Linked DNA regions of Arabidopsis thaliana. The protein of the gene in region 2 purifies or fractionates together with the protein of the main gene of each other region. This does not show direct contact. Each region holds a gene or a part of one and is shown on either strand. Other genes may lie near its edges.

Region 1 (10,694 bases), on a different chromosome or scaffold from region 2:
GTTAAGCGGGAGATCTGTTTCTTATCGCTATGTTGCGTTATTGCAGGTACCAACTCGTGCAGGTCCTGTGAGTGTCGTCTTTTCCCGCAACATCACTTTTCACGAGTATCACGATGCTCCTGAAGATACAACCGAGTTATCTTGTTTGACGTCTGATACATCCTCTTCTCCAACAGAATCTCCCGAGTACACGACACCTATGGTTGGTGAAGGCTCAAGGGCAGAGTTTTTCCAAGAGGATATTTATGAGGAGCTAGACCATGTGGTGGAGCGATTAGAGCAGCTTACAGACTTGCATGCAATATCTCAAAGTCCTCCTGAAATTATCACCGAAGAGGCAGACGAGATAAAAGAGATTGATGAAGGATTGTTGTCTGAACTTGACTCGATTGGAGACTTCAATGTTAAGGAAGTTGTGACAGATACTGAACCTGGGCCATCTTCGATAGAAAATGCTATGAACCAGGCTGTTGTAGAGAGCATGGAAAAGCAACCAAAGTCACCACAATCAGATAGTAGGTCTGGAGAAATCATGTGTGCAGTTGAAACCAAACCATCGGAGTCTTCAGTTGACGAAAGTTCTATTGATGAAACAAACGTTATAACAACATCCGATGTTTTACCTGTCGTAGCTCGATCACTGGAAGAATTTCCGCAACCTTCTGAACCAAAAGAGGGGATTTCAATGGAGATAATCTCTGAAAGCGTGATGATTCCCACAGAAGCTACTGGTCCTGGTAATGTAACAGTAATTGATGAAGTTGTGACCGAGGAAACGAAAGCTGAGACCACCGAGAAAGAAGAAGAAGGAGAAGAAGAGGAGGAAAGTAAACCAAAAGAGATAACAAAATCTGATGTTTTACTTGTCGAAACTCGAGCACTGGAAGAATTTCCCAAACCTTCTGAACTAAAAAAAGGGATGGCAATGGAAGTAATCTCTGAAGGAGTGGTAATCCCCACAAAAGCTGCTGGTCCTAGTAATGTAACACTAAGTGATGAGGTTGTGACTGAGAAAGCAAAAGCTGAGACCACTGCAAGCAACACTGATGCAAATGTCCAGAGTCCTGAGTCCAAAGAAACTCCAGAGAATTCGGTGGAAACTATTGCAGAGCAAAAAGGAAAGTAGGAGAAGAAGACGAAGTCCAACCCTTCAAGCTCGAGTTCAAGCTCAAGCTCTAGTTCGAGTGACTCAGATTGAAAATTAAAGGGTAATACATCATCTCAAACTCAAGTAAATATATCTTTGTTAAAGGGTAATGATAGGCACTTCTGGGTTTTGTTTTTTTTCATCTGTGTCCTCTGTTTTAAAAGGGGCAAGAAGTAGCCGCTAATCATATTTTTATACCAAGTTTTCTCCTTCCTTTGTATTGGTTTTCTTGTGTGTTTGTGTTTCCTTTTCTCTTCTTTCTTCAGCTTTCATATTTATCGATTTGATTGATTTGTATCTCTTGAAACCAGAGAGGTTTTCTCAGGGTTTTGGATTGTGTCTTTAAATACTTTTCTCGCATCTTTTTTGGGGGGTTTGTTATTTGTATTGGACCTGAGAAATGGGAAAGGTACTGCCGTTTGGATTTTTCTATGAACATTGTAATATAATGGACTCGATCGAAGATGGTAACACCGTTCAGATTACAAATAGTTTTTGGTGGTTCATATTTAGTTGTAAATCTCTTATTAACATGAAGCATTGCCTCTCTTTTTTTTTTTGGTAAAAGATGAACTTGTGTTTGAGATTTTATGTAAATAAAGTATCCAAGTATATTCATATAAATCACCAACTTTTGATTCAAAGCATAATGTGTGTGTATACAGTTTTTATTGTTTCACATGTCTAAAAGCATGCCTTTCCATAGTTTAATCATAAAGTTTTATAAGCCAGCAATAAGAATACTTTTGGATCTTGTGATTCGTGTATCATATGATTACCAAACTCAAGATGCCAAAAAAGGTTGGTAAACAAGTATTTTATTGATCCAATAATTTGTTATACTAATACACATACGATTTAGTTCAATAATTCCTAAAGAAAAGTTTTTTTGTTTGTTTTTCATTTGGATTGTTAAAGTATTCAATTCTTTATGTCGTACAACAAGTAAATAGAAAGAAAAAAATAGAGTGCGAGTTTCACTTTCAATAAATGCTTGTGTGATTATCTTTATTTGTGTACATACTAGATCTACATCCACCGACAAACCAGTGTCGAGGAAGCATATGCAACTGTCCTGCAGATTTAAAGTCTCATGTAATTAAATGTTGTTCAATTTGTTTGTTGTGTGATTACCAGTTTGATGTATAGTTAAAGTTACCAAGTAATAAAATCATCAAACATACATATAGTACTAATTTTTTGTTTATCACATAAACATTTTGTTGACTTTTTGGTGTTGTTTGCAATAGCATCTTCTTGATAAATTCCTAGTGAACTCAAAATTGACCTACACCAGTTCCATACAAATAGAAAGATACTCCAAAACTAGTTGTGGAAGTGGTTGAATATAATTTTATATTCCAAACTTAGAAAATTCATGTTAAATTCCGCAAAAGAGCTTATAACGTAGTTTATGCACGATATGGTTAAACTTCCTCAGTTGCTATAGAGTTAAAAAAAAACAAATATTTTGAAATTGGTAACTAGTACGTGAAATTTTTTAATGCAGACTGAAAGAACAAAATAAAACTTAAAATATGTTTACAAAAAAATATTCTTTCATGATTTACGCAAACCAAAAGTTACATTTAAGGTTAGGAAAGAAAAAATGACCTAGGAAATTAAAACAATGAGGTTCGTTGATAAAGGTCAAGAATCAAAGTTTGGTAGCCAAATTACCAGCAAACAAAAAAAGATTAAGACCATTAATCCATCGCGTATACTCATTGTCTTATGAATCTTAAACAATAATATTATATTATATACAGTAGGTCCATAATTTATGTTTCTTTACCTACTCTATTTACCAAAAACATACATAGTTTTTATCTGACTTACACAAGTGTACTAATGGCCAGACAAGATTGTTACTTGTTCAAGTAAAATTGTGTTACCAGATATTCAACTTTCTATATATACATATAGATTTGACAACTATTCGACTTTCTATATTTAACTGAAAGAGTTGTATCACTGAAATTTGGAGTATTGTTCCCTGTAAATAATTCGATTTGTTTCCAAAACGCTATGGAACAGGCCTTGATTTTGATACTCTTTCGTGCTGACACTTGAAACGGCGTCGTATCAATAATAGAAGAAAACCTTACTGTGGAAATAATCAAATTGTGAATCTCCACCAACCTCAATGGGTCCCATTGCCACCCACTAATCTCCCCACGTACACCAACTCCCCTTCACGTTTTAATCTCTTAATATACTTTTATTATAAGTTAATTAAATGATTTCAACCTTAGTAATACTAACCATTAATTATTCATTTCTAATCTCCAATATTTTTTTTGAAAAACCTTTCTGTTCAGATATTTTCGTCAATTAATCAAGATCTCATTCATAAATTAAAAAAAAAAACAAAATTCAAGCTAAAAATACATACCCAACAAAAATTCCTTAAAAAAATTACTTATGGGGCATCTGGTAATTTAATTTTCCTATAAAAGATGGCAATATTAATTCAGTTTTTTTTTTTAATTTACCAATATGATACTTTAATTATATTTCTTACTTGTTAGCTCTACTAATGCACACATACTTATTTCTACGAATATAAGAAAAAAATACTGAACTCAAACAATAGACAAAAAAGAAATAATCCTACACTCAAGTGTGTTGAAAAATAACATCAAATTCAGAGAAAATGCACATACACCAATAATATAAATAAATAGGGATATTTAAAATAATAAATAAAATTGCGAAAATATCGAGCACCACCAGATCTACAGAAATGACACAGAGCCCAACGATGATGTATCTCGTTTATTTTCGCTATAAATAAACTCACACAGCCCACTCTTCTTCCTCGCTCTCTCTTTCGCCTTCTCTTAGCCTACCCTTTTTCCTTCCTCCTCTCCGATTCTTCCTCCGTCAGGTTCGTCTCCGACTTTCTATGTCTTCCTTACGTCTCTCTTATTTAGCTCCCTTTCCTTCCTTCTCCACGTTATTATTACTACTTCGCTTTTAGTGTGATTCGTTTCATTCTCGTTTTTTTATATTCCTCGATCTGTTTGCTCATTTGTTGAGATCTATTCGCTATGTGAGTTCATTTGACTCAGATCTGGATATTTCGTGTTGTTCGATTTATAGATCTGGTTTCTGGATCTGTTTACGATCTATCGTCATCTTTCCTTTGAAAATGATTGGTGTTTCTGTGTTCGTATTCGTTTAGATCTAAAGTTTTTGATCGATGAATGTCGCATGTGTTTTTATCTGAAAGTTTTCGATTACAGTATCAAGTGGTGGTAGTAGTAGTAGTAGACTCAAAAAGCTGCACAAACTTTTTATACACGTGAATTGTGATTGCTTTACGGTTTTCTTGGAGTTTGTTAATTAAATCATTTAATATTAAGAAGTTTATGAATTAAGAGAACGTTATTTTATACTATGATTTTGATTTTGATTTGGTTTGTGTGTTTTAATGCAGTAAAAGAAAATCAAAATGGCTTCACACATTGTTGGATACCCACGTATGGGCCCTAAGAGAGAGCTCAAGTTTGCATTGGAATCTTTCTGGGATGGTAAGAGCACTGCTGAGGATCTTCAGAAGGTGTCTGCTGATCTCAGGTCATCCATCTGGAAACAGATGTCTGCCGCTGGGACTAAGTTCATCCCTAGCAACACCTTTGCTCACTACGACCAGGTTCTTGACACCACCGCCATGCTCGGTGCTGTTCCACCTAGGTATGGATACACTGGTGGTGAGATCGGCCTTGATGTTTACTTCTCCATGGCTAGAGGAAATGCCTCTGTGCCTGCCATGGAAATGACCAAGTGGTTCGACACCAACTAGTGAGTCTTCATTGATCTCTTGTGTTCTTTTTGTTGACATTGGTCTTTTTGAGTTGTGGACTAATTTGATTATGCTTTTGTTGATGCAGCCATTACATCGTCCCTGAGTTGGGCCCTGAGGTTAACTTCTCTTACGCATCCCACAAGGCGGTGAATGAGTACAAGGAGGCCAAGGCTGTACGTATCATTCTTTACTAATATCCGTTTCTTAGGAAATTACTGTTTGCTCGTCTAATTAACTATTAGAGATCATAGGCTTTAGTTTGAGGATATAGTGTTTAAGCTTAGATTCATTGAGTGGTGTTTCACTGAGGATGCTAATATGCTAGGAAGGTCTCGGATGCATTGAATATAAAAACCGTTAGAAAAGTCATCTGGCACTGGTTGTCTAAAGTAGTTTTTTTTTCTACGAAGTTCTGATCTGGTTTACTTGATGTTTATGCAGCTTGGTGTTGACACCGTCCCTGTACTTGTTGGCCCAGTCTCTTACTTGCTGCTTTCCAAGGCTGCCAAGGGTGTTGACAAGTCATTCGAACTTCTTTCTCTTCTCCCTAAGATTCTCCCGATCTACAAGTAAGAAATCACTTTATTGTTTTTCTTTATTATGCCATCCGTATCCTTGATGTTATCAATGATCCTCTGACATACCACTGATATAATGACTTTGATTTGTGTACAGGGAAGTGATTACCGAGCTTAAGGCTGCTGGTGCCACCTGGATTCAGCTTGACGAGCCTGTCCTTGTTATGGATCTTGAGGGTCAGAAACTCCAGGCCTTTACTGGTGCCTATGCTGAACTTGAATCAACTCTTTCTGGTTTGAATGTTCTTGTCGAGACCTACTTCGCTGATATCCCTGCTGAGGCATACAAGACCCTAACCTCATTGAAGGGTGTGACTGCCTTTGGATTTGATTTGGTTCGTGGCACCAAGACCCTTGATTTGGTCAAGGCAGGTTTCCCTGAGGGAAAGTACCTCTTTGCTGGTGTTGTTGATGGAAGGAACATCTGGGCCAACGACTTTGCTGCGTCCCTAAGCACCTTGCAGGCACTTGAAGGCATTGTTGGTAAAGGTAATTGTTCTTCCAAAATCATCTGCCTTTTACCTGACATTACTAGGGAATTATTGAAAAACAACTGTATGAAATGTTGATCTGTTGTCTTTTTGATGCAGACAAGCTTGTGGTCTCAACCTCCTGCTCTCTTCTCCACACCGCTGTTGATCTTATCAATGAGACTAAGCTTGATGATGAAATCAAGTCATGGTTGGCGTTTGCTGCCCAGAAGGTCGTTGAAGTGAACGCTTTGGCCAAGGCTTTGGCTGGTCAGAAGGACGAGGTATTTTACCCACATGCTCCCCTAGTAGTGGACCCTTGAATTATCTGTAGTGTAATTGATCCAGAAAAATCTAGAACTCAATATTTTTTTTCTTTCAGGCTCTTTTCTCTGCCAATGCTGCGGCTTTGGCTTCAAGGAGATCTTCCCCAAGAGTCACCAACGAGGGTGTCCAGAAGGCTGTAAGTTTGATTTCAAACTGATGCACTGTGCTCACCCAATGGTTTATTTTCCTAATCTTGTATTGATTGAGATAGTTTCTCATTCTTGTTATCTCAGGCTGCTGCTTTGAAGGGATCTGACCACCGTCGTGCAACCAATGTTAGTGCTAGGCTAGATGCTCAGCAGAAGAAGCTCAATCTCCCAATCCTACCAACCACAACCATTGGATCCTTCCCACAGACTGTAGAGCTCAGGAGAGTTCGTCGTGAGTACAAGGCCAAAAAGTTAGTCTCCTAAATTTAATCCTTGGGCTTATGCGTCACACATTTTCTTAAATTGTTGTGATGCTAATGGTTTCTTTAATCTCTCTTTTACTAGGGTCTCAGAGGAGGACTACGTTAAAGCCATCAAGGAAGAGATCAAGAAAGTTGTTGACCTCCAAGAGGAACTTGACATCGATGTTCTTGTCCACGGAGAGCCAGAGGTGAATTTTTTTTATTATTCTATGTTTTTGCCTGATATTTCTAGTAATCCTTGGTACTGTTTCTGATGAGACATGTTTTCACAATTTTGTAGAGAAACGACATGGTTGAGTACTTTGGTGAGCAGTTGTCTGGTTTTGCCTTCACTGCAAACGGATGGGTCCAATCTTATGGATCTCGCTGTGTGAAGCCACCAGTTATCTATGGTGATGTGAGCCGTCCCAAGGCAATGACCGTCTTCTGGTCCGCAATGGCTCAGAGCATGACCTCTCGCCCAATGAAGGGTATGCTTACTGGTCCCGTCACCATTCTCAACTGGTCCTTTGTCAGGAACGACCAGCCCAGGTACATAATGTTACTATAATCTAAAAACAAACATAAACACCAAATAAAGAACAAAACACTAAGACAATCTTGGAATCATTGTAGGCACGAAACCTGTTACCAGATCGCTTTGGCCATCAAGGACGAAGTCGAGGATCTTGAGAAAGGTGGAATCGGTGTCATTCAGATTGATGAGGCTGCACTTAGAGAAGGACTACCACTCAGGAAATCCGAGCATGCTTTCTACTTGGACTGGGCCGTCCACTCCTTCAGAATCACCAACTGTGGAGTCCAAGACAGCACCCAGGTTTGCTTAAATAAAAACTACACATAACGAGTCTCATGTAGTGTAATGCTTTCTCAGTTGCTCATAACTTATGTGTTTCTGGTGTTTTTTTTTTGCAGATCCACACTCACATGTGCTACTCCCACTTCAATGACATCATACACTCCATCATCGACATGGATGCTGATGTCATCACCATTGAGAACTCCAGGTCTGATGAGAAGCTTCTTTCCGTGTTCCGTGAAGGAGTGAAGTACGGTGCTGGAATCGGTCCAGGAGTCTACGACATCCACTCTCCAAGAATACCATCTTCTGAGGAAATCGCAGACAGGGTCAACAAGATGCTTGCTGTCCTAGAGCAGAACATCCTTTGGGTTAACCCTGACTGTGGTCTCAAGACCCGTAAGTACACCGAGGTCAAGCCTGCACTCAAGAACATGGTTGATGCGGCTAAGCTCATCCGCTCCCAGCTCGCCAGTGCCAAGTGAAGAAAAGCTTGATTTGAACAAGGAAACGTTTTTTTTTCTCTAAAATGGTTGTGTTTTATTTGGTTTAATAACTTTCTTAAAAATATTTTTAGTCGAAGGTAGATTTGATGCATATGGTTTCTTTCTTGTTGAGAGAGAGAAAGGCTATAGCATCCTTTGGATTTGATGCAATGTTTGTGATTTTCTTTTTGTCTCCAATATATTTCTCTGATGGAATGTCTTTTTTCTAAAGTATCTTGAAAAGGAATAAGAGGATTGATTCTTATACAAATACTTTTGTTTGCGTTGTCCTAAACTCACTACTTTTTTTTATCCGACGCAATCAGTGCTTTGTAGCCTGTTCTTGAAGTAGGCCCCTTTGTATGTCTCTATCTGGCTCCTGTATCAGATTGTTGTTTCCCTTAGATTTCTTTATTTCGTTGGCAAAAAGAAAATCTGAATTGCCCCACAAAGAGCGTGGTGGCTGATGTTAGGTTGCAGTCTCATGGTCCACCACTTTAGACTCGAAGATTTATTTCGCTTGGAGAACATCTTCGTTGATGTTTATGTATCATTTGAACTGTAGACTGTAGCCAAGTAGAAGGTTTTAACTCTGTAAAATCTGAGATGTTGTATGTTCTCAAGTTTTATCTCAGTAATTCAAGTCTCTTTGAGTTCAAATAAGAAAAAGATTGTAGCTCGGTCTCGAAGAAAAGTTCTTGCTCATTTGCAGTTTTTAATATTATTTTTCTCTCTAAGATTGTGTGAAAATAACCTAGTTAGTAAACCAAATTCAATTAGTGTAAAAGAACCTCAACCTTTTAAGATCGTTTTCAGTAAATTTTTATTGAAGATGGTGAATGATAAAAATCTTACAAAGTAGAAACTTTAATTAAATTAGAAGATAGTGTGTACAACAAAAAGAGACTTCAAAATTGTTGGTGGCAACAACAGGATCACATGAGTAATCCTTCTGCATTGTTAAGTGCTTCTTTAGCTTTCCTGAATTTCCCATAGATTGCCTTGTTATTTTTCACAACATATTCCTTCACAAAGAACTTGATGCCATCTCGTAGAGCTTCATATTCCGGATTCAAGGCTATGCGTGTGAACAAGTTCCACACAAGATTCTCAGGGTGCTCAAAGATGGCCTCGAACAGCATTCGAAAGTGCATGATTCGTTTTGGAGTTAACTCCACTGGATTTGCTAAGTCAACGGATTTGAGAACAGCAAGAGAAAGATTGAAGGTTACAATAATCTCTGCCACGAATTTCGCCAGATGCATCGATCTCTGAAGTGACATCGACTCTAGTTCTTTAAAATGGTCCCAAATGCAATACTGCAGGAAAAAAAACACAAGAGATGATAAGAGAAAAAAGAATGGTTACATAACCATGGCTTCGGTTCTATTAGATAGTAAAAACGTACCTGCAGTGTAAACTTATGATTTTTGTCGTGCTCGCACAACTTTGAAGCAAGGACTGTGTAGAACTTGTTGAATGCTTTCTCCTGTAAACAGCATTCAACTAGAACCCTCATGATCTCTCTGTCCTGTTTTCCTGGCAAATCCAATCTAAGAAGTTTCTCGAATGCATCGATGTAGTCCTCACTACTCATGATCACACAAAATATTGCTTTTCTGGAATCTGTATTCATCCTCTGTGCCTCAGCTAGCTTTAACATTTTTTGGGCCTCAACAACCTCTGCATCCATTGTTTCTGCTATATCTTCAGCGGTGTTTGAGTCAACCACCAAATCGCCAGAAAGCCACCACTGACCCTTCTTCTCGGGGTCAAGCAGCTTGCTCCATGTAAGCCCTCTTAATAACACTTCTTCTACTCTCAACTGGGTAAATTATAAAAAAAACGGACAAAAACAAATGCATTTTAGTCAAAACTTACTAATCCAAAAGCCACCTAATAAGCAGAAGCATACATGTTTATAATTGTCATGATGGAATCCATTTTATAACATTTCGAGGAATAGAGCGCTAAAATATTACCTTTTGAAGCCACTTCTTTACCCTTGTGTTCTGGACGGAATCCTCTTTGGCTCTCAACTTGTTGTTCTTTATTGCGGAAATGGTTTCAAGCATCTTTTCCATCTGCAAATTCATTGAACAAACAACTTTAAAAAAATCATAGTATAACATTTTCTTCCCGAAGACAATTTTTCATAGAATTCATACCATCATGTTATTCATTTGTGTCTGGCCATCGGAGGAGGTTTTCAATTCATTTGCCTTGTTCTGGATGCTGATGATGAATGTTTTCATAGCCAGAGGATCATCACTTCTTATTTTCATTCCACAGCCTATTCAGAGCATTATCAAGAACTGAGAGACGGAACATAAACATCTCAAAACACCTAAAGCAGCTATCGAAAGATAATAATGATAATAATAAAACTTACAATCTAAAACAGTGGTGATAGTGAAAGCATCAACTTTAGTCAGCCGTTTCCCCAATGTCATTAAGAAATCATATATAAGATCACTGCAAAACAAATATAGAGAGATTCATATTTCATCCAAAGAAAATAACAGAAAAATATCATTTTTGTTTCTGTTACGTGAGCGGACTAGTGATTGGGTTGGGTGATGAGTAAAAACATATTAAACATATCGCTGTAGGAAAAACTAAAATCCATAATACATGACAATCACTCAATATCTGTAAAAGGTCA
Region 2 (11,398 bases):
ATCATTATTGTTCAGTACGTTGCTGTTACCATTAATAGATTCGAGTATAGAATTTGGAGAAGGGTTCAATTTCACCATCGCAGATCTCGCAGGGCCAAGTTTCTTCCTACCGATTCGATACGGACCGTAGATCTTGCTCAAGAGATGGGGCATCTGATCCATAGTTATCGTCTGCGGCGTCGCGGCAATAGGACTCTCGGAAGATGATGAAGGCGGGTCGACTGGGTCCGAGAGAGAACGAGTCAGGGGGAAATTGGATCTAGCGTTGTTGATTCTAGCGTTACGGATCTGAGCCAGAGCCCCTGGTTTCATGTAACGATGGAAACCGTCGTTTCTTCTCACCGGCGATCTGGAGATTCCTTTCATGGTGTAGAAGAGGATTGTGAGGGACCTGAGAAAGGATGATTGGGGAAACGAAGGGGGGCTCTTTGTAAAGGAAGGAGTGGGTGTGATGGAGAGGCGGGAAAACTGGAATTGGGAATTCGAGAGGCGGGAAAATTAAAATTAAGGTTTTGTTTTGAATAAGTAAGAATACGATACGTACGTTCGATAACCAGCTAATCCTGAAACTTAAACCGGTGTATTCCAATCCCTGGTTCATTTAATTAAACCGGTGATTAATCGGGTCGGATATTCTTCCACATTAAATACCCGTTACCGGGTCGGATTCTTTTTGATCCGGACGGAGCAGACTCGATTGGGGAACAATTCATTCTTCTGGGTGTGTTGTGTTTGAGTTTTTGGATCATACGAAGAAGAAATCGGCGGGAGAAGCTATGTCGAGGCTATGGGCGAGATTTGCGGGATTGTTCAGTAGCAAGAGTTTTATCGGAGTAGACAAGACTGGTAACAAGTACTTTTCCAGAATGGAGGAGATTGACGGATTCGGCGAGTATTGTTCTTCCAACCTCTTATTTCCTTAAAAAATCTTTTTTTTTGTTTGATTTATGTTGGAATTTGGTTATTGCGTGAAATTTATGTATCTCTTAAATTTGTCAAGTTGCTGAATTTCTTTGGTTTTCTCCGTACGATTTGATGAATCAGCTGTCTTTGCATATCGCGAGTTGCAGTGAAGCAAATGGATTTAGAAAAATTAATATCGTATTGTTTTAAAGAACATTGTCTGCTTCTTTTCATACATGAAAAGATTCAGCTAAGTGTGATCATGTAAAATGAAACTAACAGAGGTTATTTAGATGATCAAAACGAATATTAAGACTCTTGTAGAATCCATTTGTAGAGTAATATATTCTGATGTGCTTCTTTCTACTATCCAGTGAAGGAGAAAAGATGGGTCAAGTTTAGACGAGAGGAGGACCCAACCTCTATTCCTGGTAACTCTTCTTTAAAACATAAAATGGGTTGTTATATACGACCATATATTCATTTACTTGAGTGATGTCAGATCTGAAATAAGCACATCTATAAGATATATGGCATGTATACACGAATCTAGTTACATTTTTGTTTGATCAATGTTGTAGTTGAATGGATTTGTTGGCTGAATGGGCAGCGAAAAAGGGCTCCTACTCCTGAGGTAAGATAAACTCCTTTTTAACCAGAATTATTTGTGGTCAGCATAGTGTTCTTACCATGGAAGTTTTTCATTGCATACAGACTGGCTATGCTTGGCCTTTGATATTGGTGTTTGTTATTGGTTCAGGAAATGATTGAACTTGAAGCAAGGCGTGAGCGTGTAAAGCTTAATGTTGCTCGTAGGTGTTTCAGCTTATAAATACATTTTCTAAACTTATATCCTTTTAAACGTCTTAAAATTATTATTTCCTTGTGTCATTGATCCTTACTGCAAACAGTTTATGACTTTGAGGACTTGATTTTATGAACTTCGAAGTTGTGAATGAACAAAGTCAAGAATTATTTCTGTTTCTGTGTTAGCAAGTCAAGAAATCCGTATGCAAATTTTCCATTTAATATGTCGCTCAAGTTCAAGGCAAAACATTTATCGTTTTTCTTTTGCCTTTATTTCCTTGTCAAGTTCTCAAGAAGGAAGAGGAGGAGAAGAAAGCCAGAGTAGGCACCGGACGCAAAATCACCATTGGTAATTAACATTAGAGCCCAGAAAATTTGTTTCATTTATGAATTGGTAGCTTAATGTTCGGTCTCCTTGTGTAAAGGTAAAGTTGATGGTCCAGATTTGACAAGCTTTGTTCGCCAATTTCCACCAGATTCAAAAGGTATTACATTTTCTCTGCCAATAGATTAATTGAGTCACCATAGATGCTGATGACTAACTTCTTAGGAATCCCTTGTGTAAATTTGATAGAGATTATGATGGATATGCGTTTATATTTTTGTGGTGTTTGACCCATGAAATGGTGTCCATTGGCTGATGATTATAATAGTTTTGTGAAAGAAACATCTTTTGAATGTTCCCCATATAACCATTATGATTGCGGTAGCTTAAAAGGGCAACAAAATTGTTCTCATGCACCATTATATATCGTTTAAGTCATTTGTTGATTCAAGGGCTGAGGTTACTACAGTTGCTAGATTTCTTATAACCTTAAAAGAGATTATGGTTCGACCATAAAGTCGTGGAAGTAAGACTGACAGTTAAGTTTATTTCCTTTTTTTGTTAATGCTTTAAGGTGGTGAACCAGAGGAAGCTAGTGAAGAAGCAGATAAATCAAGGTGAGTCATCATGATTCATAATATCTCCGCACTAATCATATATGTGTTAAATCTTCTTACATTCTATTTTTTCCTGGATGCAAAGCACAACATCTTTCAGAAGACTAACATAACCACATGTTCTCACATTGCTTTACAGGGCCAAGGAACATGAACCCGAGATAGTTTCTGCAGAACCACCCGAACCAAAGTAAGTCTAGCCAACTTGACATTGTTAATCCTAAAGTTCAGATTCTAGCTCACGGATACGAAACATGACTCGTTCTTTCTGATAGTTACAGACTGCTACTATGCTGAAACTGTTCTCTATGAACATAAGTTATGTATTGTGTTTGGTATGCTTTAAATTAAACTAATGTTAATGTTGATGTTGATGATGATGCAGGACAACAGAGCCATCAGGATCTGGATCATCATTTAGGCCCGGGACATGGCAGCCACCATCCTAAACACATCTCTCTTCACGCAGATGACAAACCAACATACTATTCAATTATTTTGTTTGTTGTACTCTACACAACCGATTGGTTTGAGCCTTACAGATGAGCCATAAGACCAGAGAGCTTTTCAAGACCCTAAAATTGTGTCCTTTCACGCTGTCATTGAGGACTTAGAAGAGTCAAAATGAGAAGCCATCTTCTTATACTTTGTTTTGTTTAGGGTGTTTGTCTCTTGGCATAATGCTTGAGACTTTTAGCCTGCCTTGTCCTTCATAGCTGAAGAGGAGCCTAGCTACCTTTTGTTTCTCTTCGTTGACTTGAATAAAACAGTTTGATTGAATAACAGTTATTCATTTTCATGTCATGATGGTAGTGGATATAAGAAAAAACAAATACATAGAATAATTATTTTAATGTTTCAGAGGAGAAATCCTACTTGGCTTGTGCCAGACTCATAACCCAATCAAAACTTCGTATTACCAAAATAAGTGTAGTTCTAAATTTTATTCTGGTTTAGGCTGTAGTTATAAATTACTCATTTTAGTTTGTGAATATAAAATTACTTTCTGCAAAAGAAAATATTCTCATCTTTCGACGAAAAGCCAATTATTCGAATGTTCTCACGTTGGTCTGTAGCTGTAAACTTTATAGTTTATATAATAAGGTGTTCTACTGTTCTTATATAATTTGCAAGAACAAATAATATTAAATGCAAATAAAAAATAGTCAACGGTCCAAAGTGGATCATAAGCCGTCCGTTCGGTCGTCTGAACTTCATCCAACGGTTAAAAGAAATATACCTGACGTGGCCTTGGGCCATTGTATATTAGTAGTGAGTGTGCCCTTGGAAGGTTCTGTAAAATGTTTTATTCGCCTCTATCAGAAGCTTGACGAAATCTCTTCTCCGTCTCTCTCTCTCTTTCCCTCGTCCATTCCACGATCTTCTTCCAATCTCAAATCTCCCATTTTCTAGTGTTTCATTTTGATCCTTCTTCCTTCCTCTGGAGATTTCTCAAATCTCTTCAACTATTTTGATTTGCCGCCATGTATCGACGCGCCACTTCCGGCGTGCGTTCTGCCTCCGCAAGGCTTTCTTCTTCCCTCTCCAGGATCGCCTCTAGCGAGACAGCTTCGGTTTCGGCTCCATCTGCGTCGTCGCTTCGCAATCAGACGAACCGATCTAAGAGTTTCTCCTCGGCTCTCCGCTCCTTTCGAGTTTGCTCTGCTTCCACGCGGTGGAGCCATGGTGGGAGCTGGGGATCGCCTGCTAGCCTTCGCGCTCAAGCTAGGAATTCCACTCCGGTTATGGAGAAATTTGAACGGAAATACGCAACCATGGGTATGTCTGTTTGCTTTCTCTGACGTTCTAAGAATGATTGCTCTTAACTTGTGTGACAAGAATCTGTGTTTACCGCATATCTGCTTAGATCGATTTTTCGCTTTAAAATGATGATCTACTGATTCTGATATGTTCTGATTCAAAGTAAAACTAGCTAGATGAACATTTGATTTGCTCTTGCATTTTGGTTTATGATTTGTAGATTTAGTCTACTAAATTTCTTTTTTGTATATTCTAAAAGGACAAGCAAATTCATGTGTTATGTGTCAATTGAATTATGATTTTAATGTTTGATGTGAAAAACGCAGCTTCTGAGCATTCCTACAAGGATATTTTGACAAGTCTTCCTAAACCTGGTGGTGGAGAGTATGGAAAGTACTACTCGTTACCAGCTTTAAACGATCCAAGAATTGGTATGTTTCCTCGTGCCTCTATCTGTTTTGTATGTAATGGATTTCTGGTGAAGTTAATACCTTTTTGTGATAATGCAGATAAGCTGCCATTTTCTGTAAGGATACTATTGGAATCAGCGATTCGTAACTGTGACAACTATCAAGTCACAAAGGATGACGTTGAGAAAATCCTTGACTGGGAGAATACATCTACTAAGCAGGTTGAAATTGCCTTCAAGCCAGCCCGTGTTATCTTACAGGTTTGTAGCATATTTTTTCTGTACTTCTACACTGAAAACCCCTCCAGGCCTCTAAGACTGGTACAGATTAAGTCAGCATATGCTAACTTGTATTTTTTTGCCCAGGACTTCACTGGAGTACCAGTTCTAGTTGATCTTGCTTCTATGAGGGATGCAGTGAAGAATCTTGGTAGTGATCCTAGCAAGATCAACCCCTTGGTTAGTGAAGTTTCTTATTGCTTTACGGCTGTAATATGTTTAATCCAGCACTTCTCATATTTACCTGTATATATCTAGGTTCCTGTTGATCTTGTCGTTGATCACTCGATCCAAGTTGACTTTGCAAGGTCAGAAGATGCCGCACAGAAAAATTTGGAGCTTGAATTCAAAAGGAACAAAGAAAGATTTACGTTCCTTAAGTGGGGTTCAACAGCCTTCCAAAACATGCTGGTCGTTCCTCCTGGGTCTGGGATTGTCCATCAGGTACAAGATAACATGTGATGACAGTAAATTCTGGTTGCCTTGTTGAAAATTTTGAACAGGTTTTCTGAAACATAAGTGTGATTAGAGTATTAGCCTGTTTAATCTGTTTGGTAGACTACTAGATTTCAAGGGGTGCATGAATTTCATAATGCTGTCGAATGGTTCTGTTATGATAGCTTGTTATTATTTAATACTGCAGGTCAACTTGGAATACCTTGGACGTGTTGTTTTCAACTCGAAAGGATTTCTCTACCCTGATAGCGTTGTTGGAACCGACTCCCACACAACCATGATTGATGGATTAGGAGTCGCTGGGTGGGGTGTTGGAGGAATTGAGGCAGAGGCAGCAATGCTTGGTCAGGTGAGCTCATTTCGTCTGTACACCTTCACTTTTTATTTGTAAGTGTCAAATTTGCTTTGCCACTCATCTTAGTCATATGGTACTTCAAAAACTTATCAGCCCATGAGCATGGTGTTACCTGGCGTGGTCGGGTTTAAGTTGGATGGAAAGTTGAAGGAAGGGGTTACTGCTACTGATTTAGTTCTCACTGTGACCCAAATATTGAGGAAGCATGGTGTTGTCGGCAAGTTTGTTGAATTTTATGGTGAGAACCATGGCTGCGTAACTTTTTATTTCTGATGGACTATTATTTGGTCAGTATCCATGTTTTAACTTATTTCTTTCAATACGAAGGTGAGGGGATGAGTGAACTTTCACTGGCTGATAGAGCCACAATTGCAAATATGTCTCCCGAGTATGGAGCAACTATGGGTTTCTTCCCAGTGGATCATGTTACACTGGAGTACCTGAAGTTGACAGGAAGAAGCGATGAAACTGTGAATCCTCTCTCTCTCTCTCTCTCACTTTCTCTACTTTTTTATTCTTTCTTTTTTGGTAAAGTAAATCATCATGCCTAAAATGTGCTTTAAGTTTCAAGTTCTGGTACTTGTGGTTTACATGTGCTGAGGCTGACTATTGCTGCATAATCTGTTTCAAGACATTTTAAGGAGCTATCTGTAGACTTAGGTTGTTATGGTCTACAGTTTGCATTATCACGTGGCCTATTTTTTCTGTATCGTATCCTGTTTCCTCTGGTTTCTGTGACTCACATGATCGCCAACTTGGTTTATTTAGGTGTCAATGATAGAATCATATTTGCGCGCAAACAATATGTTTGTTGACTACAACGAGGTATGGACATTCTTAATCAGTTTACTGTATTTTATTTATTTTGACAAGATTCTCAACTCCAAATATCTGTACATTATTGCAGCCTCAGCAAGAAAGAGCATACACATCTTATCTGCAGTTAGATTTGGGACATGTTGAACCATGTATTTCTGGTCCTAAAAGGTATATTCACTTCGTTTTGATATTTAGAACTTTCTGATCCATCGCCGTACCTCCCTAAGGTTTCACTAATTACTTTATTTTCTGTTCAACAGGCCTCATGACCGAGTGCCTCTGAAAGATATGAAGGCTGACTGGCATGCATGCCTTGACAATCCTGTTGGATTCAAGGTGAGATGCAAGTTGTATTTACAACAAAAATCATTAAACAACCAATGACGTTGATTTGTTTTTTTTTTTTTGGATAAGTTGTAAGACTTTGCTTTTTGTTTCAAGGGTTTTGCAGTGCCAAAAGAAAAACAAGAAGAAGTTGTGAAGTTCTCATACAACGGACAACCTGCTGAGATCAAGCATGGTAGTGTTGTTATTGCGGCAATTACTAGTTGTACAAACACGTCAAACCCTAGTGTCATGATCGGAGCAGCACTCGTTGCAAAAAAAGCTTCAGATCTTGGCCTGAAGGTGAGTTTCCACCTTTTCTCTTTTCCCTGAGATCACTGGGTTCTGAATCCTGTTTTTACTGTAAGTGACGTTTCAATTCAGGTAAAACCATGGGTTAAGACAAGTCTTGCTCCAGGGTCTAGAGTTGTCGAGAAATATTTGGATCGAAGGTCTGTTGGAGTCAACGCTGTTTCCATCTGGATATCTTATCTGATCACGGAACATACATACTGAACGTTTACTTTCTCTGCAGTGGGCTCCGAGAGTCCTTGACCAAGCAAGGATTCGAAATTGTCGGCTACGGCTGCACAACATGCATTGGGAATTCTGGCAACCTTGACCCAGAAGTTGCATCTGCTATAGAAGGAACTGGTAACAACATCTTCATCAATACCAACATACTCTAAAATTGTCAGAACATGTTTTTTTTTTGTTCTCTTAGCATCTCCTTCTGCCATTTTCATTTTCTTTTCATCTGGAATCCTCGTCAATTGTGTTTCTCCACCAATAAATTAGTGCCCCTATATCGTCAGACTGAAGCTCACTTTTTGGTTGGTCCATTGTGCTTCCTCCGTGTCACAGATATCATCCCAGCTGCTGTGCTGTCTGGAAACCGAAACTTTGAAGGTCGTGTTCATCCACAAACAAGAGCAAACTATCTTGCGTCACCACCATTAGTTGTTGCTTATGCCCTTGCTGGAACGGTTTGTACTTTCCAACTTTGGATATCCTTAATTGGTGTGGCATCATAGTTCATCACCAACAAGATTGAGTAGTTATTCGCTAAGTAGTCTCATCAATCTTGAATTTGTTTCTATATATTGATCTCTACGATTACAGGTGGACATTGATTTTGAGAAAGAGCCTATAGGAACCAGAAGTGATGGAAAAAGTGTGTACCTGAGGGATGTATGGCCAAGCAATGAGGAAGTTGCTCAGGTACATTGGTGACATGCTTAGAGGATAAGCTATTCACTTTTAAATGTTCCTTGCTAACATTCCTGATACTCTTCCATAGGTTGTTCAATATAGCGTGCTACCAAGCATGTTCAAGAGCTCGTACGAAACAATAACAGAGGGAAACCCCTTGTGGAATGAACTCTCTGCACCGAGTTCCACGTTATATTCTTGGGATCCAAACTCCACGTACATTCATGAACCTCCGTATTTCAAGAATATGACCGCAAATCCACCTGGTCCTCGTGAAGTGAAGGATGCTTACTGCTTGTTGAACTTTGGGGACAGTGTAACAACAGACCACATCTCTCCAGCAGGAAACATTCAAAAAACTAGTCCTGCTGCAAAGTTTCTAATGGACCGTGGTGTGATTTCGGAAGATTTCAACTCATATGGAAGTCGAAGGGGAAACGACGAGGTTATGGCTCGTGGTACATTTGCCAATATCCGTATTGTTAACAAGCTCTTGAAAGGAGAAGTTGGCCCCAACACTGTTCACATTCCGACTGGAGAGAAGCTTAGCGTTTTCGATGCAGCAAGTGTAAGTTGAATCGTCAGACAGCTTCAACACATATATATAGATCCTTCTTTAAGTCCCTAACTCATTTCACATATGCTTTCAGAAATACAAGACCGCTGAACAGGATACGATCATCCTGGCTGGTGCTGAGTATGGAAGTGGTAGCTCTCGGGATTGGGCTGCAAAGGGTCCCTTGCTTTTGGTAAGCTTTACATTGTTTACAACAGTTGTCAGATTGTGGCTATGTCTTGTGATCGTAACAGTTAAGCACAAATTAGGGAGTGAAAGCTGTAATTGCCAAGAGCTTTGAGAGAATCCATCGCAGCAACCTGGCTGGTATGGGGATCATTCCTCTGTGTTTCAAGGCTGGGGAGGACGCGGAAACCCTTGGACTCACTGGTCATGAACGCTACACAGTCCACCTTCCTACAAAAGTTAGTGACATTAGACCCGGTCAAGACGTCACTGTAACCACTGACAGTGGCAAATCCTTTGTCTGCACCCTGCGTTTTGATACAGAGGTAAACTGGTTATATAGCAAACAAATTCAGTAAAATCAAAACTTCATTTGATCTGAGACTTGTTTTTGTGGGGACGTGCACAGGTGGAATTGGCATACTATGATCACGGCGGTATTCTACCATACGTCATCCGGAGTTTGAGCGCCAAGTGATCTCAAAGTGTTTTTCGCCTTTTGTTTTCTTCTTATGTTAAGATCCCAATAAAGCAAGTTTTGTGAGCATCTTTTTTCTTTCAGGTTACACTAAACCTTTGTTGGCAAGAGTTGCTATAAGAAAATGCAAAAATACACACTTCATTTTATAAACAGTTTAACGTATCTTTGACCGTAGCATCAATTGAAAGACCTGGAAACAAGATTAAACTGTTACAAACACTTTTCTCTAACCAGCCACTCTATTCACTTTTGCTCCCCAGAAACTGCTGTAAACTGATTGAACTTGACCACAGTAGAGAAAAGAGGCATGCATTCTTAGAAATCCACTCATCTTCCTCCTATATTTTCTTTGTCATACATTTTATGAAGAGAATCCATATTGTTAACTCTTGTGCAAAGATCTGGTAGCCTTTGATGCAAAAACCATTGCTTTGGCTTCGTCGCTTGACATCATCCAATCCCTCTCAGCACGACGTTGACGTTGCCTTGCATTCTTTGCACGTTTAGGGGCCATTCTTGCATCTCTCTCTGCAAATGCTAGTCTGAACTTCTCTGCTATTGACAGTTCATTGCTTAACGGGAAAGATGTGGGCTTCTGCACAACTCCAGTAACAACCCACGTCTTAGGATCAATATCTTTGACAAATGGTTCGTCCAGTGCAACATCTGGTAGTGCTTCTCGAGGAACCTCGTCTGCTCTGTACGCGACAAGTGATGGCTTGGGATTTACCACTATTCTTGGACACTCCGAGGATAACATCTCCAGTGAATCCTTATCAATTCGTGGCTGCAGAAAAAGCAAATTAAATGAGTACACTGAGTGGCAAGAGACACAGATGGAGAAAGTAGATTCTTTTGTTTACTGGTAGCTTATTAGTCAGTCTGTCAGAGGGACGATACATACCCAAACAAGCCAACGCAATGATTGACCACCATGGCCAATCTCTGAAGTGTCTATTTCTTCCCATGTTTCTCCTTCAACATTACTCAAGTTTGGCTTAAAAATACTCAAAGATCTGCGTGCCGTGGACTCACTGCTTGGGCATCCCCTGCAATATTAAATTTTCTCTCATTGCCTGTTTTATAAAGTTTGGTAGCCCTAGGCAAACCCACACACTGGGTTCAATTCTATCTTACTTTACCCAAATGATCACTTACTAAGTCATAAACAAAAAGACAAGCCACCCCAACAACAACACACTAAAAGCCAGTTCACTGCAGTTAGCTAGAGAAGTAAAATATACCCGCATCTAAGAGTCTCCAATGATCTGCAGTGTTGTACAAGCTCTAAGACGCCCATGGATGAGATTTTGTTGCACCGGCTGCATAACAAAATAAGGCAAATTATATGATACTTGAGAGCTAACGAGCACCACTTATCCAACATACAGAAGCCCCAAACTAAAGAACCAGCAAGACCAGAGCTACAAGTAAATAAACTATCCCAGGTTGCAAAACTCAAACGATACCCAACACAATCAGACATATGTGTGGCTAGCTTATCTTGTTCCCATCTCAAAGGAAACAGCTTATACAGAAAACATAGAGAAAGCATACTAAATTCTTAGCAAGCAACTATAATACCTAATGTCCACAGCTCGGAGAGATTTGCAGATTTCTGCCACTTTAGCTAAGCCAAAATTCGTAACATCTGAACCGCTAACATCTAGAATTTCCCAGGAACTGTCAGCCAAACAGATAATCACATCATCATCCAGCAGCTTTTTTCTTCTAGCAATTGCTGCAATCGACATCTGTTGCACATGAGTATGCCTTTGATTAGCAAATGGATATAGTACTAAACAGCTTGAAAGAAGAAAACACTGAAACCACAATTAACCTTGATGTCTGCAGGAAATATAACAGAGATTTCAGCTAAACAACGAATCATATCCTCCAAATGCTTCC
Region 3 (9,912 bases), on a different chromosome or scaffold from region 2:
AACCCTCGGTTTTAGGTTTAATTGAACTCATGAGAGTGGTCGTTTTCTTGAAGAAACAATAGAAAAGCTAAATGGACCCATTTATGATCCTGTCTCTTTTTTTAATAGAATGTCTGCTCCTTTTTTCTCAAAGACCGGATTACCGGATTAGAGAATTCTCATATAGTATATGTGGGTTTGTATCCGAGTGGTGACACAACGCCGATTCTAACACAAATCATTCGGATACATCATACATGTTTTGGTCGAATATAACACAAACCATTAGGACACAACAATAGTTTAAACACAAGTCATTAGCCATGATGTAATATAATTTAGGCAAAACTTTTCAATAAGTGTCAGTTTCATTCTTATAATTATAATCCGGTATATGTATATTCAAGTATTGATCTCTTCATACATAGCTTAAATCAATTAATAAATGCGGCTACAAGCCAATCATTTAACCATTTAGAAGTTAAATTAAATGGAGTAAAATAATCAAATAATCATCTTGAGAAATAATTTTTTCAAAAACAAAATTCCAAATTGCGTAAAGCTCTTCTCTATATAAACCCTTTCCCCTCAATCCATCTATCATCATTACATCTTTTCTTGCCCTAAAAGTAAGTATAAATACACTAAAAAGCTCCCAATAAGATGTGTAATAACAATAACACAAGTTGTGTCAACATCTCAAGTATGCTTCAGCCTGAGGACATTTTCTCCCGTCGTTGCATCTGGGTGAATGGGCCTGTCATCGTCGGTGCTGGCCCATCAGGCCTAGCTGTCGCCGCCGACCTGAAACGCCAAGAAGTTCCGTTTGTAATCCTCGAGCGAGCTAACTGCATAGCTTCTCTGTGGCAAAACAGAACCTATGATCGTCTCAAGCTTCATCTCCCAAAGCAATTCTGTCAATTACCCAATTTACCCTTCCCCGAGGATATCCCGGAGTATCCAACGAAGTACCAGTTTATTGAGTACCTTGAGTCCTACGCTACCCACTTTGATCTCCGCCCCAAGTTCAATGAGACGGTCCAATCAGCTAAATATGACAAGAGGTTTGGGCTGTGGCGGGTCCAGACTGTTTTGAGAAGCGAGCTGCTCGGTTATTGTGAGTTCGAGTATATATGCAGGTGGCTCGTGGTGGCGACGGGAGAGAATGCTGAGAAAGTGGTGCCGGAGTTTGAGGGTTTAGAAGATTTTGGTGGTGATGTTCTTCACGCTGGAGATTATAAATCCGGCGAGAGGTACCGCGGAAAACGAGTTCTCGTAGTTGGATGTGGAAACTCAGGCATGGAAGTCTCTCTTGATCTATGCAATCATGATGCGAGCCCATCAATGGTCGTTCGAAGCTCCGTAAGTAAAATTCAGTAAATTATACCCACCAAGTTACGAAAAACAGAGCACCCTGATTCTTAGTAGCTCCTCTGTTTAAAACAGAGCATCTGATAGTTATACTCTGTTTTTCCTTGTTCGATCAGGTTCATGTATTACCGAGAGAAGTTCTTGGGAAGTCGACGTTCGAGTTAAGTGTAACAATGATGAAATGGATGCCGGTTTGGCTCGTGGACAAGACTCTTCTCGTTCTCACAAGGTTACTTCTAGGGAACACCGATAAGTATGGGCTCAAGAGGCCTGAAATTGGACCGTTAGAGCTGAAGAACACCGCAGGTAAAACTCCCGTGCTAGACATCGGAGCCATTTCAATGATCAAATCAGGAAAGATCAAAATCGTAGCGGGAATAGCTAAGTTTGGTCCGGGAAAGGTCGAACTCGTGGATGGTCGAGTTCTGCAGATTGATTCAGTGATTCTTGCCACTGGTTACAGAAGCAATGTCCCTTCATGGCTTAAGGTAGACAAAAGTATTATCTTTTTCAGATTTTTGTCTCAAAAGATAACATTTTATAGGACCATAGAATACCGGTATTGATAGTTATGGGAAGTTTGATAAAAACTAAGACGTTGATTGGTGATTGATTTATTGTTATGCAGGAAAACGACTTGGGTGAGATTGGGATAGAGAAAAACCCATTTCCAAAAGGGTGGAAAGGGAAGGCTGGATTGTATGCGGTGGGATTCACCGGAAGAGGACTCTCAGGTGCATCGTTCGATGCAATGAGTGTAGCTCATGACATTGCCAATAGCTGGAAAGAAGAAACTAAGCAACAGATCAAAACTGTCGCTACTCGCCACCGTCGTTGTATTTCACACTTTTGATTTTCACTGTTTATACGAAAACATATATGAGAAGAGGTAAAAAAGAGAGGATCGATAGTGTTATGTGATGTGAAAATCAAAGAGATAAGCCCACTCCATGAGAGTATAACTGTGAAATGTGTTTGAGCTTATTTTCTTGTAAGGAGGATGTGGCTCCATGTATTTAACGTATTCTTTAACATTCCAACTTATCTTTTGTTAGCAAATGTGTTTGATTAGAGCTGATCTAGAAAGTTTAAAACATGATTAGTTTAAACAAAATATATGAACATGTGTCTGAAACTGATTTCGTCATTGACAGAAATAAGTGAATGAGGGAAAAATACCGAAAACATTCCTCCGTACCGTACCAGCAATACATGAACTGTGTATGTATCATTTCTCTTATTATACGATGGAAATATAGAGACAACAAACATCAAGGTTCTAAAATGCTTAAACAAACATTCATTCATCATCATCAAAAGGAGCCATTGAAATTTTACCAGACATCAGGACGAAGCTCTCCGGTAGCTGGAGGCATCCAACGACCAGAATTGTACACGTTTTCACCGACTTTCCATCCAGGAACATCCTTCATCACATCCGCCTCGTATTCTAGATACTTCTTCCACTCAGACACAAACCTATTTACAAATCAACACGTGGTGATCCAATGTGAGAGTTTGTACCACACAAGCAAACATAACTTCTTTTGTGAATCCTACCTTTCATCTTCTTCAGCTTGAAGAATCGGTAGAATTGCTCTACGTGCAGCGTACTTCTCTTCCTTCAACGCCCTATCATCACAGCAATCTTCATTAAAACTTTGGAGTTGATACATTGTGCTCATTTTGACACTTTTGTCATCATTATGCAATTGAGAGTCTAACAATAGAAGACTATTAGAGAATGTCACTTACACACACCAAGAAAGATAACACTGTGTTGTCTTATTCGTTGCAAATTACTCCAAATCGACACTAATCAAGCTAAATAACTCACAATGTGACCATCTAAAAACCAATATGCAACTAACCACTAGTATATCATCTTGCAATTTGATTGCTTTCTTCATCACAGCTCAAGAGATCGTTAATTAGTAACCAATTTCGAGACTAACCACACAAATTTATAAGCATCAATCCCAAATTGTCTTAAGATTCAATCCCAAATTACTCAAAATTTCACAATAGAGAAAAGCCTAACCAAACTCAAATTCCACATCTCATTATCTAATTACCTGCGGATTTTGTTGCCCTGACCAACTTGGTACATGCCCCAAGCAAAAGCACCGGAAACGGTAAGGAAAATAGCCATGGCGCTAGGTCCCGTGTTGGAGATCCGGCGAGCATATCGGACCGGCGCGAATCCACCAGGTGGTGGACCATCCTGAAGCAACGGCATATCCTTCACACTCGCCATTCCTGGCTTCTTCCTTATCATCGCCTCCGTCATCTTCTTCCTCGATTGATCCCCAAATCGATCTTTGATTCGTTAATCAGTGTGTGTTCTAGGGATTCTGAGAAAGACAATCAGAAATGAAATGAAATGAAAAATCTTTTTTTTGGTGACTTTTTTTTTAAAATGTTGTAATAATGAACTGGGCTTTAAAAGGCCCATATTAAAATAGTACCGGGTCAAAACTCGAACCGGATCCAAAACCGGAGGCTAAAACTCGACCAAGCAATGATGAGCTTGGAGAAAACGTAAAACCCTAAACCCTACTGCTTATAGAATCTTCGACGATCTGCTTCATTTCTCCTCATCTACGAGTGAGAGAATTTGTCAATTTAGCTTCTTTAGTTCGGTCTGATCTGAATTAATTGCAATCTTCTCGGTTGTGTGAGAGAATCAATCACCATGTATCGGCTTGTCTCCAACGTTGCTTCCAAAGCTAGGTAGATCTATTCGACTTTTTGGTTTTCTTTGTGTATATGATTCCAATGCTGCTTTATTTTCTGTGAATTTGTTTCTGATTGGATCCTCGAAATCGGAAAGTTGCGAGAAACTGTTGGGAATTGAATCGGATTTTGATCGGATTGAATTGAATATTTCTCTGCCATTGGAGAGTTTAGCATCTTCTATTTTCTTTGTATTTCTGGAAGTTGCTTCATTTATTGATGGGATTTATTTTTCTTTGTTTCAACAGGATTGCCAGAAAGTGTACAAGCCAGGTTCGTGTTCTTCATTTTGTATCTAATTTGTGGTTTAGCCGTTTGTGGGTATGTATTGATGTGAATTTGTGTATTGTTAGATTGGAAGCAGGCTCAATTCTACTAGGAATTATGCAGCAAAAGACATAAGGTTCGGTGTTGAAGCTCGGGCTTTAATGCTTAGGGGTGTTGAGGATCTTGCTGATGCAGTTAAAGTCACTATGGGACCCAAGGTATAAACTTATGTTTCAGATAATTTCTGTGTAAGAGACTTGTATTGTAAGTGAATCTAGTTAAAAATAGATAACGTGACGACCTATTGACAAGTATCAACAATCGTCTGTTTTGTTACCCTCACACTCTCTGATACTACATGTCTAAAACCATTTTTGAAGGGTCGTAATGTCATCATCGAACAAAGCTGGGGTGCACCAAAGGTGACAAAGGATGGTGTGACTGTTGCCAAGAGCATTGAGTTCAAGGATAGAATTAAGAACGTTGGTGCCAGTCTTGTGAAACAGGTTGCTAACGCCACAAATGACGTAGCTGGTGATGGTAAGTGTTCCCTTTCAATGGATTAAAACGTTTTTTCTGTTTTTGCTAATTGGGTTGTTAGTCTCCTATCTACTCATATTAATCGGTGTTTTTGTATCTGACAAAATATATGGTATGCGTTACAGGAACAACGTGTGCCACAGTCCTTACTAGAGCTATCTTCACGGAAGGTTGTAAATCAGTTGCCGCTGGAATGAATGCAATGGACCTAAGACGTGGTATCAAATTGGCAGTTGATACTGTTGTGACGAACTTGCAGAGCCGAGCACGCATGATTAGCACCTCTGAAGAAATCGCCCAAGTTGGAACAATATCAGCTAATGGAGATAGGGAAATTGGTGAACTGATTGCAAAGGCTATGGAAACTGTCGGCAAAGAGGGAGTGATCACAATTCAAGTGAGTTGAATTTTATCCCTAAATGTCAAATTATTTTGCTTATTCCTTAAGGTGACCAATGTTATCATCTCTTGATTCAGGATGGCAAGACCTTGTTTAATGAGCTGGAAGTTGTTGAGGGTATGAAGATTGACAGGGGATACATCTCCCCGTACTTCATAACTAACCCGAAAACACAAAAATGTGTAAGGATTCCCACCTTGTTACTTTATCAATTTAAGGAATTGCGGATTTAATTTGCTCTGAATGAATATGTGTTGCAGGAACTAGAAGATCCTCTCATTCTTATCCACGAGAAGAAAATTTCCAATATAAACGCAATGGTGAAAGTATTAGAACTGGCCCTCAAGGTATAAACAATTTGGCGATTTCTTCACTGTCAATAGTGTCTGATATTCATTAAGTTACTTTGATCTGAAGATCGAAATTTATTTTCACTGCCATTTTTCAGAAGCAAAGGCCGCTGCTGATCGTTGCTGAGGATGTGGAGAGCGATGCTCTTGCCACCCTAATTCTGAACAAACTTCGTGCTAATATCAAGGTTTTTCTTTTCAGCCTTTTGTTATTTGCCTTTTCCTTACAACGTCTTAGTAAAAAATTAATTTGATTGGATTGATGTACATGGTATTGCTTTATAGGTCTGTGCTGTGAAGGCCCCTGGTTTTGGAGAGAACCGAAAGGCCAATTTACATGATCTAGCTGCCCTCACTGGAGCCCAGGCATGCCCATGTTTCTTTTTATAATAACTGCCAAGACCATCACACCCACACTAATCGGATGAGCCATAATGTGTCTTTGGTGATTTCACTTTGTAGGTAATAACAGAAGAGTTGGGTATGAATCTAGACAACATTGACCTCAGTATGTTTGGAAACTGCAAGAAGGTTCGTTTGGTCCAATTCCTTCTGCTTTCTCTCTTTCTCCCTTGTACCTTCTGATAACTTGGTTTTCATTTGTTAACAGGTAACGGTATCCAAAGATGATACTGTTGTTCTCGATGGGGCTGGTGACAAGCAAGCAATTGGGGAACGATGTGAACAGGTTAGCGTGTTTTTCGCTTTTTTATCATTTAGTGGTTCAGTGTCATATACCTTTGCCCTTTTTTCCAACTGGTAGTTTTAATATGTTTTGAATTTTTATTAAACCACGCAGATACGATCCATGGTTGAAGCAAGCACTTCTGATTATGACAAGGAGAAGTTGCAAGAAAGGTTGGCTAAGCTTTCGGGTGGTGTTGCTGTACTAAAGGTAATGTACACCTCTTGTGAACATCAGACTAATAGGCTATTAATGCATTATTAGTTTATTACTAATGTCGAGATTACTCATATGGGTTTTTAGATTGGAGGAGCAAGTGAGACAGAAGTTAGTGAAAAGAAAGATAGAGTAACGGATGCTCTAAATGCCACTAAAGCAGCCGTAGAGGAGGGTATTGTTCCAGGTATAATCTATCCCAAATCTAAAACAAAATTTGGTTGAATCCCTTAAGAAAATTGCGTGAGAAGAGAATTATATTACTTTGTGTGTATTACAGGTGGTGGTGTTGCTCTTTTGTATGCTTCGAAAGAACTTGAGAAGCTTTCCACAGCTAACTTTGATCAGAAAATTGGTGTTCAAATCATTCAAAACGCACTCAAGGTGTTTCTCTCATCACATTGTTCATCCTCGCTAGCATAAACAGCTTCTAGAATCTTACACACAAAATCTTTCTTTGATGCAGACACCTGTTTACACGATTGCTTCCAATGCTGGAGTCGAGGGTGCAGTTGTCGTAGGCAAGCTTTTGGAACAAGATAATCCTGACCTTGGTTATGATGCTGCTAAAGGTTACACTCTTATATGCATTAGATAATTCACTTTCTATAGTTCTTGATCCACCTTGTTATATATTTCCCTATATTCCGAAATCTGAACTAGCTTCTTTTGGCATTTACTTTCAGGAGAATATGTGGACATGATAAAGGCTGGTATTATCGATCCTTTGAAAGTGATCAGAACCGCATTAGTTGATGCTGCAAGGTACACAAAGATTGAAAATTGGTTGTCCAATTTTGTATTTTATTGCAATGTTTTGCTAATTTATTCTATTGGTTAGTGTTTCGTCTTTGTTGACAACGACGGAAGCAGTTGTGACTGAGATTCCAACGAAAGAGGTAGCATCTCCGGGTATGGGCGGTGGTGGCATGGGCGGCATGGGTGGCATGGGCGGTATGGGAGGAATGGGTTTCTGAGGAGAACTATAAACCCTGAGTAGGGTTCTTTGGAATCTGTTGTGAGAGATGCTACGGTTGGTTCATCCACAAGACACTAATGTATTCTTTAATCATGATTGGTAGAGAGAGACCTTCAGATTTTCCGTGATTTTCAATTCACAAACGATTTATAAACTATTTTGAAGAAGATCCTTTTCCGATTCATGCAAATTTCTTCCAAAAATAATTCAGATTAGAGAGTTCAGTGAAACATCAAGTAGGTTGTGTTTGCGCATATGGAGGAGATTCCTTAGTTCTCGCCAACTATCACCAAACCCTTATATCTTATTAACACGATATTTAGCTGTTTATTTATATGTGGTTCAAGTAACAGACTACTTATTTCAAATAAAAAATGGAAAAAGCTTTTTTCATAGAACGAAACAAACGATATAGTGTAGTTTAAAGTATGTTACCCGAAAAAGAAAGCAAATCTACTTAACACGGTCCACAATTCGCGTGGTGAAGAAGGTTATAATTGGGTCCCAAAACATTCATTTCCCCCCAAAAAAAGTCATAATTATGAACCAAACTCTTTTTGTCTTCACGTCTTTGTCCGTTCCATAACCATAGCTTGCCCTACTTATTATAGCAGTAAGCCATAATCAAGGAAACCGTATTTGTATGTAACTTAATATTGTGGATTGATTACAGCTTGGAGGGAATTGATTCAATTTGGCCAGTTGGTCAAACGCAATGGTATAAGTCCACCGAACTAGATGGCAAAAACAAAAACAATTTGAGAATGTTCTTAAAAGTTCCAGTTCAAATGTGTTGTAAATAGTCAAATTCCTTTTACGAACGATATAAAAGTAGTCAAATAGAGATAGGGAATAAAGAAAAATACTTATCTAGATGATGAATTAGCTTAACGAGAAAACTATTAGTATCTGTTTTGGCAAGAAAATTTTATGTCTCGGTTGATTACACACACTTTTTAGTTAAACTACAAGTAATCAATCATAGATTTTACTTTAAGAAAGTTCCACAAACACGACGTGGCTGTCCATTATAACATAACCTCGTGGTCATGGAATGTTTCGTCTTATTTTATTTTTAATATTACACAATGTTCAAAGTTCTCAATTAGCAAGTTTCATGTGGTGTGATGAAAATCATTAACCATAAAAACCAACACTCAAGCGGAAATCCAACTCTCTTAAATTAAAATAATTCACTCAAAATTTTATTTTCATTTGGAGATAAAAATATAAATTGGTCAAAAGCAAAATAAAGATAGAGGTCATCAAATCGTACGGCTAGAAACAGAAGTGCACAGAGTTATTACGATGAAAACGTTACACAGAATCATTTTCATACACCAAAAGCTCTTTCTTTTTGTATTTTAAATCGAGTTTCGAACCGCTCTGCTTCTTCTTTACTCTCTGCGTGATTATCGTGTGAGAACATTGAACTCACACTTCAACTCTCAAGCTTCTTCTTCCTTCGCCTTCTTCTCATTCATTTGCTTCTGTGTCTAATTTTACATAGCGAAATTCCAGCCATAGCCAAAAAAAAAAGGGTCAGATTTTTTAAACGGATTTTTTTCTCTCTCTCTCAATTACTGATAATGAGTCTAATTGAGAGTTTCTCTTTTGACCTGTTGTTCTTGTTCTTGTCTTTAGATTCTAGGGATGTTCTTAAAGTCTTGGTTGATTACATTATGATCCTTCTAGAGTTTGTTCTGTGTCATCAATCTAAACCAAATCGCTCATATTCTTACAGAATAAAAGAATTGATTTAGACACTTTTTAGAATTTTGTATACATTGGATCAAGTAGCATTCAAAAAATAATTACTGTTCTCTACATTTTCAGTACTTACAGGTTCTTTAATTTCAGTTTCTTGTAGGTTTTGGCAATGAATGGATCAGCGGAAGCTACACGGACAAGACCATTGCAGATCAGTCCCGGTGATTTAGAGGCTGCTCATCTAGATGAACTCATAATGGAAATAGAACAGAGGAGTCTCTATTATTACCAAGAGAAAAACAAGTCCTTGAGAGCTCGTTATACCTACGGAACCATTTTCTTGATCATAAATCTATGCGCTTGGTTTATCCGTGACTACGCACAAAAGGCTCTGGCCTTGCTTCCATGTATTTTTTTCATAAATCTTTTGAGATATATCTAATGTTGAAGTTAAAGATACTTTAAGTTGAAATCATCATTGCAGATGTCAGCAGTTGTGGACCAGAAGGAAGTCGTTGTTTCCATACGCTTGGAGTACTCCGCGTGAGTTTAGGATGTTTCGTATCCTGAAATATCAAATCTTTTGCTGATAGAGTCATACTTTTAAGTAATTTGGTATGTTATATAGTTTATCCTTAGCAATGAAGATATTTTACTTTGTTATGTTCCTCTCAACATG

What was found.
Region 1: the proteins of ACO2 (region 2) and ATMS1 purify together in Arabidopsis thaliana (affinity purification with mass spectrometry, with the first as the bait; one large-scale study listed by BioGRID). This does not show direct contact.
Region 3: the proteins of ACO2 (region 2) and HSP60-2 purify together in Arabidopsis thaliana (affinity purification with mass spectrometry, with the first as the bait; one large-scale study listed by BioGRID). This does not show direct contact.

Annotation. Positions count from the first base shown.
Region 1 is NC_003076.8:5,931,167-5,941,860, forward strand, and holds ATMS1 (Cobalamin-independent synthase family protein), read left to right. Parts: upstream 1-3,871; 5' UTR 3,872-4,037; exon of another isoform or gene 4,038-4,202; intron 4,203-4,589; 5' UTR 4,590-4,604; coding exon 4,605-4,954; intron 4,955-5,043; coding exon 5,044-5,131; intron 5,132-5,399; coding exon 5,400-5,527; intron 5,528-5,633; coding exon 5,634-6,025; intron 6,026-6,126; coding exon 6,127-6,290; intron 6,291-6,388; coding exon 6,389-6,469; intron 6,470-6,566; coding exon 6,567-6,733; intron 6,734-6,827; coding exon 6,828-6,933; intron 6,934-7,025; coding exon 7,026-7,276; intron 7,277-7,360; coding exon 7,361-7,562; intron 7,563-7,660; coding exon 7,661-8,029; 3' UTR 8,030-8,699; downstream 8,700-10,694. Other genes in the region: AT5G17910 (cardiomyopathy-associated protein), read left to right, coding at 47-1,126; AT5G17930 (MIF4G domain-containing protein / MA3 domain-containing protein), read right to left, coding at 8,965-9,348, 9,438-9,854, 10,012-10,113, 10,198-10,322, 10,422-10,504.
Region 2 is NC_003075.7:13,538,941-13,550,338, forward strand, and holds ACO2 (aconitase 2), read left to right. Parts: upstream 1-3,977; 5' UTR 3,978-4,136; coding exon 4,137-4,431; intron 4,432-4,739; coding exon 4,740-4,844; intron 4,845-4,922; coding exon 4,923-5,083; intron 5,084-5,188; coding exon 5,189-5,281; intron 5,282-5,359; coding exon 5,360-5,545; intron 5,546-5,744; coding exon 5,745-5,906; intron 5,907-6,005; coding exon 6,006-6,150; intron 6,151-6,239; coding exon 6,240-6,382; intron 6,383-6,680; coding exon 6,681-6,737; intron 6,738-6,819; coding exon 6,820-6,899; intron 6,900-6,991; coding exon 6,992-7,067; intron 7,068-7,172; coding exon 7,173-7,358; intron 7,359-7,439; coding exon 7,440-7,507; intron 7,508-7,590; coding exon 7,591-7,709; exon of another isoform or gene 7,710-7,919; coding exon 7,920-8,041; intron 8,042-8,177; coding exon 8,178-8,276; intron 8,277-8,355; coding exon 8,356-8,835; intron 8,836-8,917; coding exon 8,918-9,016; intron 9,017-9,092; coding exon 9,093-9,335; intron 9,336-9,418; and 3 more. Other genes in the region: AT4G26960 (uncharacterized protein), read right to left, coding at 1-391, 652-713; AT4G26965 (NADH:ubiquinone oxidoreductase, 17.2kDa subunit), read left to right, coding at 777-888, 1,278-1,334, 1,485-1,537, 1,664-1,715, 1,997-2,059, 2,136-2,195, 2,610-2,652, 2,792-2,842 and 1 more; AT4G26980 (RNI-like superfamily protein), read right to left, coding at 9,873-10,277, 10,395-10,539, 10,735-10,812, 11,075-11,244, 11,331-11,398. UniProt on the Arabidopsis thaliana protein: Catalyzes the isomerization of citrate to isocitrate via cis-aconitate. Contributes to oxidative stress tolerance. Involved in acetate assimilation.
Region 3 is NC_003071.7:14,072,702-14,082,613, reverse strand, and holds HSP60-2 (heat shock protein 60-2), read left to right. Parts: upstream 1-3,841; 5' UTR 3,842-4,045; coding exon 4,046-4,083; intron 4,084-4,334; coding exon 4,335-4,359; intron 4,360-4,439; coding exon 4,440-4,571; intron 4,572-4,733; coding exon 4,734-4,893; intron 4,894-5,018; coding exon 5,019-5,290; intron 5,291-5,370; coding exon 5,371-5,475; intron 5,476-5,553; coding exon 5,554-5,640; intron 5,641-5,741; coding exon 5,742-5,831; intron 5,832-5,928; coding exon 5,929-6,009; intron 6,010-6,105; coding exon 6,106-6,174; intron 6,175-6,253; coding exon 6,254-6,331; intron 6,332-6,442; coding exon 6,443-6,538; intron 6,539-6,631; coding exon 6,632-6,731; intron 6,732-6,824; coding exon 6,825-6,928; intron 6,929-7,010; coding exon 7,011-7,116; intron 7,117-7,230; coding exon 7,231-7,309; intron 7,310-7,385; coding exon 7,386-7,521; 3' UTR 7,522-7,847; downstream 7,848-9,912. Other genes in the region: YUC7 (YUCCA 7), read left to right, coding at 643-1,341, 1,467-1,838, 1,979-2,203; AT2G33220 (GRIM-19 protein), read right to left, coding at 2,113-2,209, 2,689-2,829, 2,911-2,982, 3,426-3,640; AT2G33205 (Serinc-domain containing serine and sphingolipid biosynthesis protein), read left to right, coding at 9,403-9,640, 9,718-9,794, 9,881-9,912. UniProt on the Arabidopsis thaliana protein: Implicated in mitochondrial protein import and macromolecular assembly. May facilitate the correct folding of imported proteins.